Oryzias latipes: one gene and its partners. The protein of the gene in region 3 purifies or fractionates together with the protein of the main gene of each other region. This does not show direct contact. Links are inferred from orthologs where the notes say so. Each region holds a gene or a part of one and is shown on either strand. Other genes may lie near its edges.

Evidence for each region. The genes of interacting proteins can lie anywhere in the genome.
Region 1: the proteins of timmdc1 (region 3) and ecsit purify together in Homo sapiens (affinity purification with mass spectrometry; 3 studies listed by BioGRID and IntAct, counting the BioPlex papers as one, with this or other methods). This does not show direct contact. The link is inferred for Oryzias latipes from reciprocal best matches to the Homo sapiens genes TIMMDC1 and ECSIT.
Region 2: the proteins of timmdc1 (region 3) and ndufa13 purify together in Homo sapiens (co-immunoprecipitation; 3 studies listed by BioGRID and IntAct, with this or other methods). This does not show direct contact. The link is inferred for Oryzias latipes from reciprocal best matches to the Homo sapiens genes TIMMDC1 and NDUFA13.

Annotation. Positions count from the first base shown.
Region 1 is NC_019876.2:29,030,314-29,034,417, forward strand, and holds the start of ecsit (evolutionarily conserved signaling intermediate in Toll pathway, mitochondrial), read right to left. Parts: upstream 2,805-4,104; 5' UTR 2,584-2,804; coding exon of another isoform or gene 2,559-2,583; 5' UTR 2,528-2,558; exon of another isoform or gene 2,018-2,527; intron 928-2,017; exon of another isoform or gene 920-927; 5' UTR 833-919; intron 692-832; 5' UTR 630-691; coding exon 498-629; intron 1-497. Other genes in the region: eml3 (echinoderm microtubule-associated protein-like 3), read left to right, coding at 2,559-2,583.
Region 2 is NC_019875.2:22,789,955-22,794,189, forward strand, and holds ndufa13 (NADH dehydrogenase [ubiquinone] 1 alpha subcomplex subunit 13), read right to left. Parts: upstream 2,805-4,235; 5' UTR 2,753-2,804; coding exon 2,659-2,752; intron 1,351-2,658; coding exon 1,272-1,350; intron 1,204-1,271; coding exon 1,132-1,203; intron 1,053-1,131; coding exon 983-1,052; intron 553-982; coding exon 433-552; 3' UTR 317-432; downstream 1-316. UniProt on the Homo sapiens protein: Accessory subunit of the mitochondrial membrane respiratory chain NADH dehydrogenase (Complex I), that is believed not to be involved in catalysis. Complex I functions in the transfer of electrons from NADH to the respiratory chain.
Region 3 is NC_019860.2:16,689,684-16,693,765, reverse strand, and holds the start of timmdc1 (complex I assembly factor TIMMDC1, mitochondrial), read left to right. Parts: upstream 1-1,276; 5' UTR 1,277-1,441; intron 1,442-3,276; 5' UTR 3,277-3,297; coding exon 3,298-3,578; intron 3,579-3,744; coding exon 3,745-3,910; intron 3,911-4,082.

The DNA.
Region 1 (4,104 bases), on a different chromosome or scaffold from region 3:
CTTTAACTGAATTGACAGCAGAACTCCTGTCACTACCGTTGTATAAAAACAGAGGGAGATCCAATTAAATCTGTTAAAACATATTCATGTGGACAAACATCATATTCTAATTTTATTCTAAACTGAGTCTTTTGCACCTTTTACACTAGTTCTTTGTCACTGTAATCAAAAGTAACAATACAAATACAAGAACCTCACATAGAATACAATCCATTTGCTTAAAAATAGCAAAACAAACATTTAATTTGAAATAATTCTACTTTTTTTTTCCTTTTATGAACGTTTGATTGGAACCATTTGTAACTTGATTGACATATTTGTATTGTGAAAAATCATTGATCATTAAAAATGAATCGCTGGAAAGAAGCGATTCCTGTTTTCAGGAGGTAAAACACAGACGGGACCTTTGATCTCGGACCTGTCACTCACACAGACGGGACCTTTGATCTCGGACCTGTCACTCAGGGCCCGTCAGGAGGGGGTGGGCCGGAACTCACCCGGTGCTGCTGTGGGTTGCTCCGCGCGGCGCGCGGACCGTGGGGTTCTGGCTGGAGGACCCGCGCCGTCTGCCACGAGCATCGGAGCAGCCGCAGATCCTGCAGCCGCTGTAGGCAGCGGGAAACCTTCATGGTGGAGCCATGAAACCCACCGTCCAGATGGTAGATCCACACAGACAGACAGACAGCGACGGCTATCGAAAGAAAGACGGACTCAGGGAGGTCTGAGCGCGTGCCAGGATCACAAGCACCAAAATGTCTCCCACTAGTTATCAGTGACTCCCGGAAGAGATTAAAAAATGAAGCAAAGTGACAAGAAAACACTCAAAACACACCTGAAAACGAGTCTCCTTCAAAACAACCACACGGCGGCAGCTTACCGGGGAACCAACGTCCTCTGTCCGGCACCTTTTTCCTTCCCCCTCACAACAGAGAAAAACAGCAACAATCGTTCCGCAGGTCCGGAGAAGAAAGTTCCGCGCTGTGCTGCCCGGTGATTTTAGACAGAGAAAATGTAAATATTTGTTTACGTAAATACTAACCGTTCTTCCTAACATAAAATACGTCTTAGCAGCAGCAGGAAAAGGCAGAGAGGTGCAGAGATTCAAACCCCAAACCCTCCTGTCAAGGCTGGTGGCAAGTGTTCAACCAGGTGGATTTTAATGTGACAAAAGCTCAGCAAGAGGGAAGATAAATAAATGTCATTCATAAAGTAATAGTGCCCCCCCCCAAAGCTAGTCAGGAGAGGCCTCCAAAGTTTAGTAGAGAAGAATTTAACTTAGAAAAAAGTGGAAAGCCGTTAAAAAAACAGGTTTGCTTTGATAGTTTTGAGGGAAGTTTTATCAAACGATAATTAATGCAATAATCGTTGAGCACTAAATGTTTGAGTAATATTAATTTCTGGAATGTTGTCATGTCTTTTTGTCAGAAGTTACAAACTAGAATATGATAAATATGTAAAAACAAGTTAAATAAAGCACAATAGGGGTGGGTTTATGTTCATTAGCTTTCTCTTACTCCTCAAATAATTAAACTCTTTTGGAAAATAAATTTTAATTTAATAGGTTTAATATGTCGTGTATTGTTTATATAAGTGCAAATATTTATGATTAAGAGTAACTATAAAGGAATATATGTTTGCAACTGTTTTTATATGTTTTACTTTTTAGATTTTTTAATCACTTCGTGACAAATCAGCTTGAGTTTGATATACTTGATCTATACATAAATGTCTTTTGTTTGTCTTTTCGGTTTTGATCGCTTGAAATAAATCAAATCCAAACGGCCTTTTTATTTGTGTATTGGGCCTTTATTTTGGAAGGCTGGACCAGAGAAATGGTTCATAGAATTTAATCTGTTTTTTAAACCAAGAAACTGTGATGTAACTATTGTCAGAAGAGCCCAAAAATGGGATTTTTATTCATTTCTCCTTGATGTGAAATCTGTCTGATGCATTCAGATATTATCTGATCCTCCTGTCTGTTTACCCAGCTGCAGGGAAGGACAATGGGGGGGAGGGGGGTAGTCGGATTGTGTTTTGGGAGTTTGGTTAAGTCTGGTGAGGCTGAACGTGGTCATGTGATCCTCCCAGCGGCGGACATCAAACGGGATCAGCAGCAGCAGATGCTTTATTCAGCAACATGCAGTTCCGGATGACGCCACGCGGGGGCGACAGAAACAGCGGCGCTGAGGCAGCAGCAGGCATCGCCGCGCTGCATGAGCTGAAAACTCCACACTAACATTTTTCGCTCTGGCTGTCAGCGTCCGGGGGGGTTTCTGGGGCTGGGGGGCTGCAGCACTGACATGACAGCGGTATGTCCCGCTGATGGATCCCTGTGAGTTCTGCTGTCAGTTTGGGAGTCGGTAATCCGGTTGCAGGGCTCGCGGGGTTCCTCCTGGCGCGTGAAGCGCGCGGCTGTGAGCGGCATTCACGTTTCCGGTGTGCTGCAGCGCCCGCAGTTGACTGGAGCCTTTGTGAGACACTCCCGCGTGAGCATGGAAAACACACCTTAAAGTATAAAAACACAAACCTTTGGCCGCACCGCGCCTCTCAACCGGATCATGGACTCCTCCACCAACAGTCTGGGTGAGTAGTTCTGCTCCGAACCAGCCGAACTTTAGCGCCAGCCCCGCTGCTTCTGACTGACTGGTTCCGATCCACTGCTCCTGCGGGGAGCAGTCATCCTGGAGTTTTTTTGTAAATGTCCGGTTGGTGGAGGACTTCAGAACATTTGTTTGGGTTCTGTTCACAACTTTCTCTTTCCGTTTCTTGGCTCCGGTTCGGTTCTGACAGTAGTTGGTTTGTCTTCAGCCCGCTTTTCACCTGCAAACGGCCGCGTAAAGCTCCGCGTCGAGCGAGGCGCAGAGATGTGTGCCGCGGGCGCAGCGCCGTGCGTGGGTGTGCGGGGCTGAAGTCATATTTGCGGTTTGGAAGCAGCGCTTTATCTCATGACCTGAAGGCGGTTCTGAGGAATGCCTTCACTTTCGGATCAGCAAACACGGCCCGGATGACAGCAGCGGGTCGGGCTCCGCTCCACGGGACAGACAGAAGCGGCTTTTGTTGCACATCTGGGGCCTCTGCGGGGCCTGCGGGGCCCTTCTGTGCTGATGCCTTAAACGTCTGGGAACGTCTCGTGCGCTCAGATTCCCGCAGCTTTCATTTGGAGGCTCTTAGATTCAGCTGGAGGCGCTTCTTGTTTCCGTTTTTGCATCAATGAGCTGCAGCTCCTGCAGAACTCTGGCTGAAGGTGTCAGGAGCAGCGGAGACCCCACCTGAGGATGTGGACTTCCCCTATAGGCCTCATTCTGTCCATCACGTCTGTCATCCTCCTCCGTTTAGACCAGAGTACTGACTGTACAACAGAAATAACGTCAAAATACCTCGATGGGTGTGTACTCCAATCCACTCATCTTCTTCTCTTCCTTTGGGTGTTTCCCTTCAGGGTCTCCACAGCCAATCAGCTTCCTCTGTCTGTCTCCTGCATCCTCTACCAGCAGCTACCTTCATGTCTTCCTTCATCCAGAGTCCTCCTCTCTGGTCTTCCTCTAGACTCAGCATCCTTCAGTCTGTCCTCTGGACATGTCCCAACCATCTCAGTCTTACCTCTAACGCAGGGGTCCCCAGACTTTTCAGAGACGTTTCCATCCTCTGATGGGGGCCGTGGTCAGTTTGAAACAGAGAAAGTGTGACAGTCGCAGGGGGGCCTAAATGTAAACTGAGAGCCACACAGAACCAAATGTTAACAAGCCGATCTGTTACTAAATAATCCTCTCTGGGTTCTTTACATAAAAAGTCAGTAAATATAAAGTAACAGTATTTTAGATTTTAGAAAATCAATAATAACCACATAAATCTCTGTAGTTGTTCACAGAAATAGAGCTTCTGTTGTCCGTGCACAATCTCAGGTTCAACTTCAGTTGTGGAGCAGAATCTCCTAAATGACTCATGTGATCAGTCTCTTTAGGTTTTTGTGTTCTTTCCTTATAATCCAGTCTTGGATGTTTCCAGGAGGCTCGCCTATAAAACCCTGTCTGCTCTCTCTGATCAACTTCCTAAGTTCAATGCAGTAGCAACATTTTTGGCTTGGCTCACATTTCAATTCAAATA
Region 2 (4,235 bases), on a different chromosome or scaffold from region 3:
AAAAAATGTATCTGTAAAGCTCCACATAAAATAATACAGTAGAAGCCTTAACTGATCCTGAGTTACTCAGTCTTTTTAACCCTTGTGCTATCTTAGATGACCCCACCCTTACAATGACGTGTTCTCCCTACCATGACAAAGGTGGAAAGATTTCATGTAATTCATGGACACCAGTGAACATCACAAATCATTGAAGAAAAAAGGTTCAGAGCACTGTCTATTGGGTCTAGATGACCCAACTCCCAATGTTAAAGTGCCTAGGATAGCACAAGGGTTACAGAAGAAGAAGAAAAAAAAAAAAGAGAGAAGCTGAGATGGGGTACGGAAAAAAGATACTTTATTATTGAACATTTACAAGCTGAAGGAAAATACAGGTCCACGTGCTCTTGGCTGTGGAGAGTGGTGGAAACGAGGACACGCTCCTTCTGGTGACTAAACGTACCACAAGAAGCCAAAACGCTTGTGTAGAAGCTCTTCGCGTGGCCGGAGGTGGAAGAGCTCCTCTGTCAGAGGGGTGGTCCAGCGATCTGTGTGGAAGACGCTCTCACCCACCTGCAATAGTTACAGAGCAAAAAATAAAAAGAAAAACATGTTTATTGGCCTCTGGAGGTTTTTAACCGGATTAAAACTGTCAAAGAAACATTTTGAATATACTTGGACCATTACTTCTGCCATTAGGTTCTAACTATCTCTTTGGTATCATTGTAAACTTTGAAATAAACAAAATCACAAAAAATTGATTTAAATTTCTGAGATTGGATGTTTGTAATATCTGTATAAAACATGCTGTCATTGTTAAGGTATAAACAATTTTTTTTTTTTAGTTCTTATAATATTTATGTATAATTGAAGTGCAGACCTTCATTTTTGCTTGATATGTTTGTCATTTGTAGATTAAAAATGACTATCCCGGTAAATTTGAGATAATTTCTATTCATTTTCTTATAGGGAGTACTTAAAAAAGCATCAGGGACCCCTTTACCTTCCATCCTGGCACATCTTTCATGACGATTGCTTCCTCTTCCAGGTTTTCTCTCAGCATCCTCAAGGTCCTGGAGAAATGCAAATACAGTTGTTACACACAAAGACCGTTCTCCTTTTTCGAGCGTTTGGAAGAGATTCCAGCATCACCTTCGGTCTTGTTCTGCTTGTAACAGAGGCAACAGAGCTATCCGTGCTTCCAGCTCCTCAATCTGCAGTCGCCTATAAAACACAATGGCTGCTGTAACCTTCACAACACCCCGTCCAAGGAAATGCATGACGTCTCCTACCTCCTTTCTCTGTTCCAGCTGAATAGTCTCCAATATCCAAACACCATGATGCCGATGCCAATGCCAAACATACTGTATCCTAAAATGTAAAGAACAATGAATTAATTCTCTACATTTTTTCAAAGCTTTTGTGTTTTTACAGAAAAACATGAAGTATCATAAGGCAAGTGATGGTTAAATATCAATTTCCATCTTGAAGGGTGGACTTAGAACTTTGTGCTGGTCCGGGGGACCCTGACACCCGCCTTTAGTAATACAGCTATACACAGAGATGACTGGGGGTCTTTTTAGTGCTAACATGTTTTCCTTTAGTACCTCTTTAATCAATCTTTCATTGATTCAGTTACTAATTTCTCTCTTTTGATTTATACATCGTGTTTTTTTCCCCCTCATTCTTTGACCCCCAGCTGGTCCCAGTAGATGGTTGACCTTCAGAGTCTGGCTTTAAGAAAATCTGGAAATATTTGAGTGAATCTGTTGGCCAATAAACTGATTGAAAAGTCTAACTTTTTTGTGTCATTCAAAATATAAATTTTAACTACCTCAGTAATGGATTATGTCTGTTTTATAGTTAAATATTTTGATATAAAACAGACCAGATAATTGTTACATATAGTCTGATAAATATTGGTAAACTGATGCTTTTGTTGTTTACTATTAGAATTGCAATATTATTAGGTATGATTGTATAGCTTTCAGCTCCGTAACTGTTAAAAAGGCAAATTACAAATCATAATAATATTCAAACAAAGGCATTAGTAAGTTTAGCACAAAACCTAAGAAAATGTGGGTTAAAAAGATTTGTTTTATGATTTCTTCTTGGCAATGAACCCAGTACTGATAATTCCCTATTACATTGCCTAAAAATAATAATCATTTTATTTATCACCAAAAACGATTATTATAATAAATAAATTAAATGCAAAAGACATTTGTTGTGCTATGTATGTATGTTTAAAAACTGGATTTAAACCAAAAAAAAATTATTACACAAAATCTGTCTTCTTTTAGCCTGACAGTAAACAGTTTTGTGAATATTTATTGCGCATTTGCCGTAATATAATAAATATTTAGCTGACTTTAGTCTTGACCTAACAGCAAAGATGTGCTGGCTAGTAGTTAGCATGCGGTTAGCATTGCTGTTTATAAAAAAAAAAAACCTAACATCTTAAAACGCTATGGGCATTCTAACAAGACAGTGACAAAATTAGAACTTAGTAGATGAGTCAATGAGTAAAACCAGCTACTACACTTGCTTTGTGTTGTTACGATTATTACTCCAGTATGCTAGGTAGTTAGCTTGCGCGGCTAATTCGTAAAGTAGTGTCATTTTAACACCAACAAAAGTCTAAAAAGCTGTCGAGTAGTGTGTATATTATGCATGTACCCGAAAGTCCTCGTTTCGGTAGGTTTCTCTTGTAATCAAAGGCGGCATAGCCTCCAGGAGGAGGCATGTCCTGCTTCACCTTGGACCCCGCCATCTTCCTCCGGCCTCCTCCACTACACGGTCAGTGACGTGAGTGAAGATTCTTCTTCTCGCAAAATGAAAATCCAAGAATGACTCTCTACCGCCCCCACATGTCAGAATTGAACAATGTCATGCGTTTGGCACTTCGTCGGACCATATTTTGTACATATTCTTTTTGAATAGTATATTTTTAAATCTATTTTTTGAAGAAGAGAAACATCAATTATTTGTGTTTGTCAGACACAAAAAAAGTAATTTGATTGATGTCAGAGGCAGAAATAAATGTCTAAAGAACACAATCGTGATGCAGAAGCAATAATATTGATATTCAATATTTTCAAGCACACTTTGCATTTTATTTTTCTCTTTTAATTACACAATTTTATACATCTTCATAAAAAATCATTATGTCTCATATCATCCATTTTCATTTGGATTTATTTTAGAGTAGTCTAGAAAAATATCCAACCTTCACTAGGGTTTAGGTTGACTGAGTAAGCTCTGCTGCATTCCTACTGTTTAGACTTGAACTATATTGTCAGAAGTATTCATTTGTCCATGCAAATAATTGAATTTATATGTTTTAATTACTTAATCAGCTAAAAATATGGGAAATCTTGCACACAGATTTGTGCTTTTGAAAACATTTGTGAAAGAATAGGCCGTTTTCACGAGATCAGTGAATTCCATCTAGTGTGCTACTGTGAAAGGATTCCGGCAGTAAAACGATTGCAACTACCCCGTTCCCTCCTTTTTAAATATTACATTCAACTGAGTGATATTGCATTAAAGGACACATTTAGCGTGACCATAATTCAGCAGTGGAATGGTAATTACGTAAACTGACACTTTCTGCAGTCAACACCTGCAGGACTGCAAACTTTGTGAAATCTTCCTCTTAGCTCAAGAGCAGCAAAAACATTTGTTTTTATTGCAGAGTAACAGCACCCAGAGGCAGAGGTGTAGTATTGTAAAGCAAATTAAGCAGGATCATCCTTCTCCATCTAGAATTTGATGGATGAGTTTGACAGTTTTAAGGAGAACTATATTTATCTGACTGTAAAATCCCAAATGTGGAGTTTGGATTACCCTTGCAGTAAATGCTTCAGTTTCAAAGACAGGCGGGGAGGCTTCTTCCTACTTTAATACAAATTTCAGCACACAAAGAAGGTTCAAAAAAGTCAAGGATGGGGAAGAACTTAACAGAGGATACACAAGACCTCTGACCACTTTAACAAAGTACATGAGAGATGAATCAGAGCACCATCATTTCATGCAGCATGTACTCTCACAAATATGTTCCCCACTTTTGAATATTCACATTTTCTGAACTTTGCTGACTCTCCACTGCAAACCCCCTCACCCACAAAAGCAGAACTCTTAGTAAGAATAGAGTAACGTATAGAGCAAGAAAACTGAGGCCGGCCAATAAATCCTTTAAATAAAGAGGATCATCGGCTGCCCTCTCCCATTCCTGGAAGAACTGTACAGTTCCC
Region 3 (4,082 bases):
TACTGCAAAGAGACACGATTATGAAGTGCAGTTGAAACTGCGAGCTATCAGCTACGCGGAGCATCATGGGAATTCAAGATGAATGAATCCATGGAGGAAGCTGATAAACTCTGACAAGTCAAGAAGAAGCAGCTGAGTTTCTGCGGAAACAAGGATTACCACAAAAACATGCTAATCCACGTTACATCTGCAGGTTTTTTTAATTCTAACAAAGTCCGCCGTATTTTAGATGCAAATTTCGGCCAATCGGATCAACCAGAAAGGTTACCGCCCCCTGAACACTGTGCGCAGGAGCGCCGCTCAGTCGATGCGGGGTCGCTCGGTCAGCATTGCGCTTGCGCGGTTGTGAGGTTTGCTAAAGTATGGAAGCATTTGTGTAGCATCATTAAAAATAAAAGTCAAAACCATAAACGCTTTTTTCATTTTCCGAATGAAGCTGCATTTTTTTTTCACTCGCTCAGTTATCTTTGTGCTTCATGGCAGCCATGTATGTAGCCATTAAACATCATACATGAGTTTAAAAAAACATCATTGAGCTTTTAGTTTATAACAAGCCATTTATCCTTCTTAAACGGTCAAAAGACGTTACCGACAGAAATAAAAAATCTATAAATAATAGGTTATATATAATCTGGACCTAAAGTTAGTATGAAATCTTCCGTTGTGCTTGAAATTGTATTAAAGTCAATTTGCACTTCCCACAAAGTTCTATTTTACAAAAGTAGAAAAGTCTAGAAAAAGTCTATTAAATCAGTTATAAAAATAAACAACCGTGTATATTATTCTTTTTTTTTCTTATTAAAGAGCTCAATTTTAATAGGAATTAATTGTTAAAGCTATCTAGAGTTGAAACACTAGCAAAGACAGCAGCAAGTTTCATTCTGACCTGACCTAAAAAGCTAATTCGTGTTGGGTTTTTTTTATTTAAAAGTGACTAAAATAATACTTTTCGGTTTACAATTAACTCAAAAGAACTTAGTATTTAGATCTATAGTTTTCCTACTGCAGGAACTTGTTTAATTTTTTCAGGTTTGTGTACTGATTTCAACATCACGGCGGTTTTTAGCAGAGTTTTCAATAAATAATTCAAAAGCATTTCATACTTTGATATCAAACTGATTAAAACACGTTTTATCATAAAAGTCTATGCAGGTATTTTCTTTTTATTTCATTTTTGCTGCCACGTATGAAAACTGATTGATTTCTCCAGTTTATTTTATACTTAGTCCTCCTAGCCGCAGGGGGCGCTGGCCACGATTGAAGTGCGCATGACAGCAGACATGCGCAGATGTGGGTTCTGCCTGCCAGCTCTGAGTGGAATGAGTGAACCCCTGAAGGAAGGTTATGGAAAGACAAACACATTAATGTGTTTAAATTATAGTTTGTAATTTACAAAGACTAACGCCCCTTTGTGGCGGGATTTCAATTGTAGCCGCTACTGGTAAGATTCTCTTTAATGCTGAAACTAAGAGTTAAATAAATGCCAGCCAATGCTAGCAAATGCTAACAATTAGCTCTATTAAAACTAATTTAAAAATCAATTCAACATTTCCGAGGCATTTTAACTTAATTAAATGTTAGTTTGTGGTTTTGTCGTTCGTTTGAGGAGCCTTTTCTATTTATTTTTTGGATATAAAATGTAACAAATTGGAGTTAAACCTCATAAACCCTTTTTGACTAATTTTAGGTGAAACATTTTGGAGCTTTTTCTCCAAAAATACTTGGGCAACGGAAGTAATTAAGCTAATAAAATGTGGAAATAGAAAAAATAGGTCAGTTTGTAATACTACACTGGCTGAAAATAAAGAAAACAGCCAAAATGGATACAAGTTGATTAGCTGGCAGTGTTAAATGTTCTTCTTTTTAGTAATTTGGTTTCCCTCTTAGTTTCATAGATTCTTAGCCTTCATGTTTTCCTGCTCCAGTACAAACACTGAGCTGATTGGTCAGTATTAGTTTCAGGTGTTTCTTAAAGCAGGAACTCAGGTAAAGATAATGCCCAGATATATTAGTGAAAATCACCTGTTTACTTTATTAAGGCAGATATTGTAAAAACATCATAGTATCATTCATTTCTGTCAATTAAAACAATAAATTCAAATATTTTAATGTCTTCAGAGACGTTTGGGGCGACTCAAATTAATCTTTAATGATGTGAAAATCAACTTTCTTTTTTTCCCCTCTAAAAACCATAAAATAATCCATAATTCTTGCTTTAAATGCAACCTTTTCAAATGTCACTAACTTTAAAATAATGACTAAACGAGGCTCCTGCTCGGTTTTCTGAAACCTTTACAAAATCAAGTGAAAATTGCTCAATTTGTGCTAATTATAATTACAGTTTTTACTAATACAGTTATTTTATTTGTTTACTCTGGAATCTTTTCACCTCCTTTTAGGAACTATTATGTCAAAAATATATTTTAATTATTTTTAAACCAAATTATGTTTTAATATTCTAAATAGATCTGATATATAGTTATTTATTTCATTTTTTATTTTTAAATCTTATTGATGAATTTGGCTGAATTGAACCAAATCACAGAATTAAAATCAACATGTAAGAGGTTGCTGTTACCCCATTTGGCCACCAGAGGTCCCTGTTTAATTTGAACCGTTGCCAGCCATTTGAAGCTTCATGCATCCTTGAATGTTCAGTTTTTTCCCCTTTTCAGTTGATATTCTGTAAAAGGGTAATTTTCTGCATTTTAAAGAAAATGTTTTTTGTCTTATTACTTATTTTCTTTGATGCGGTGTGGACTCTTCAGATCTAAATGTTAAATTTTCATCATAGGATTTACTTCAGGAAAACAGTTTTTTCACCCAAATTTTGTTTTTGCTGTAATTTTTTCTTTTACTATGGGTATATTTGCTAAAGCATGAAAACAGAGGGCATTTATTTTTGTTTATTTTGATTATTTATTTTAAAATCTTCAATACAGATATAAGGAATGATTTGTATGGCTGCTTTTCTTATTTATTTTATGAATGATAATTTTATGTTTTACTTATTCAATGTAAAATATGTTTTTACTCTGCTAAAAAGCAGAGTAGAATGAACCAAATTCAATAGATCTTTTTAATGTTTACCTTTTAAGCGGATAGCGTGAGGTTTCAGCCTCTTTACTCTTGAGTGTTTTGGCCGCCGCCTTTTCCAGCTGCTGAGTTTTGGACGCCGTGTGTGTTCCTGCCAGCGTTTTGTTTGCCCCCCAGCTGTTTGTTCTGAGAGTGCAGCCTTTCAGCCCACAACCATGTGTTTGTGAATCCCCACTGAAGCCTGGCGCCAGCTGAAGTGCGATGCGTCCAGATCAGCCGCTCAGACGGCGGGCAGATTCGCCTCCCCAGGGCGCGGCGAGCACCGGCCCGCCGCGGGGCTCCATCCGGACTGCGAGGCCTCGTTTTTTTGTCTGCTGCCTGCTCCCGAGGGTCCATGCAGCTGACATGACTGCTGGCCAGCATGCACAGACGTGCTCCTCCTCCTCCTCCTCTTCCTCGACCAGCACCCTGCCAGCTAACATTAGGAAGCCAGAACTTCCCGACACAGGATGGGGGCGCATCAGGGATCTGTTTGACAGAAAGTTTGTCTCCTTTTCTTTCCTCACATCTGTTTAATAAACACCTTTTAACATTTTAAACACATCTTCAGCATCAATTACATAAATGATAAATGAAATAAATGTAAATCAGACGCATTGTAACCCCTTCTGAACGTCTCGGGTGTCAAACTTGTGGGTCTCCCTGCAGTGACGTACAATCTTACCCGGAGGAGCTGACCAACCTGATCAAGCACGGGATCATCGGCGCCACCGCCGGCCTCCTCTACGGAGGCATCCCAGCTGCTCGCTTCGCCCGCCAGCGTTATATCCAAGTGAGCCAGGCGGAGTTGTACACCAGCCGAGTGGATGCAGTGGTAGGTTGATGTTCCCGATCAGTAGGCTTTTATTTTCTAAACTTTAATATTTGATAAGACAATTGACTTTATTAGCTTTTGCAGAGCTATGAGAACATTTACAGACCCTCTCTGGTGCAAATGGTGTGTTGAACATGTTCTTATGACATGTTTCCTCATGATAGAGGACATA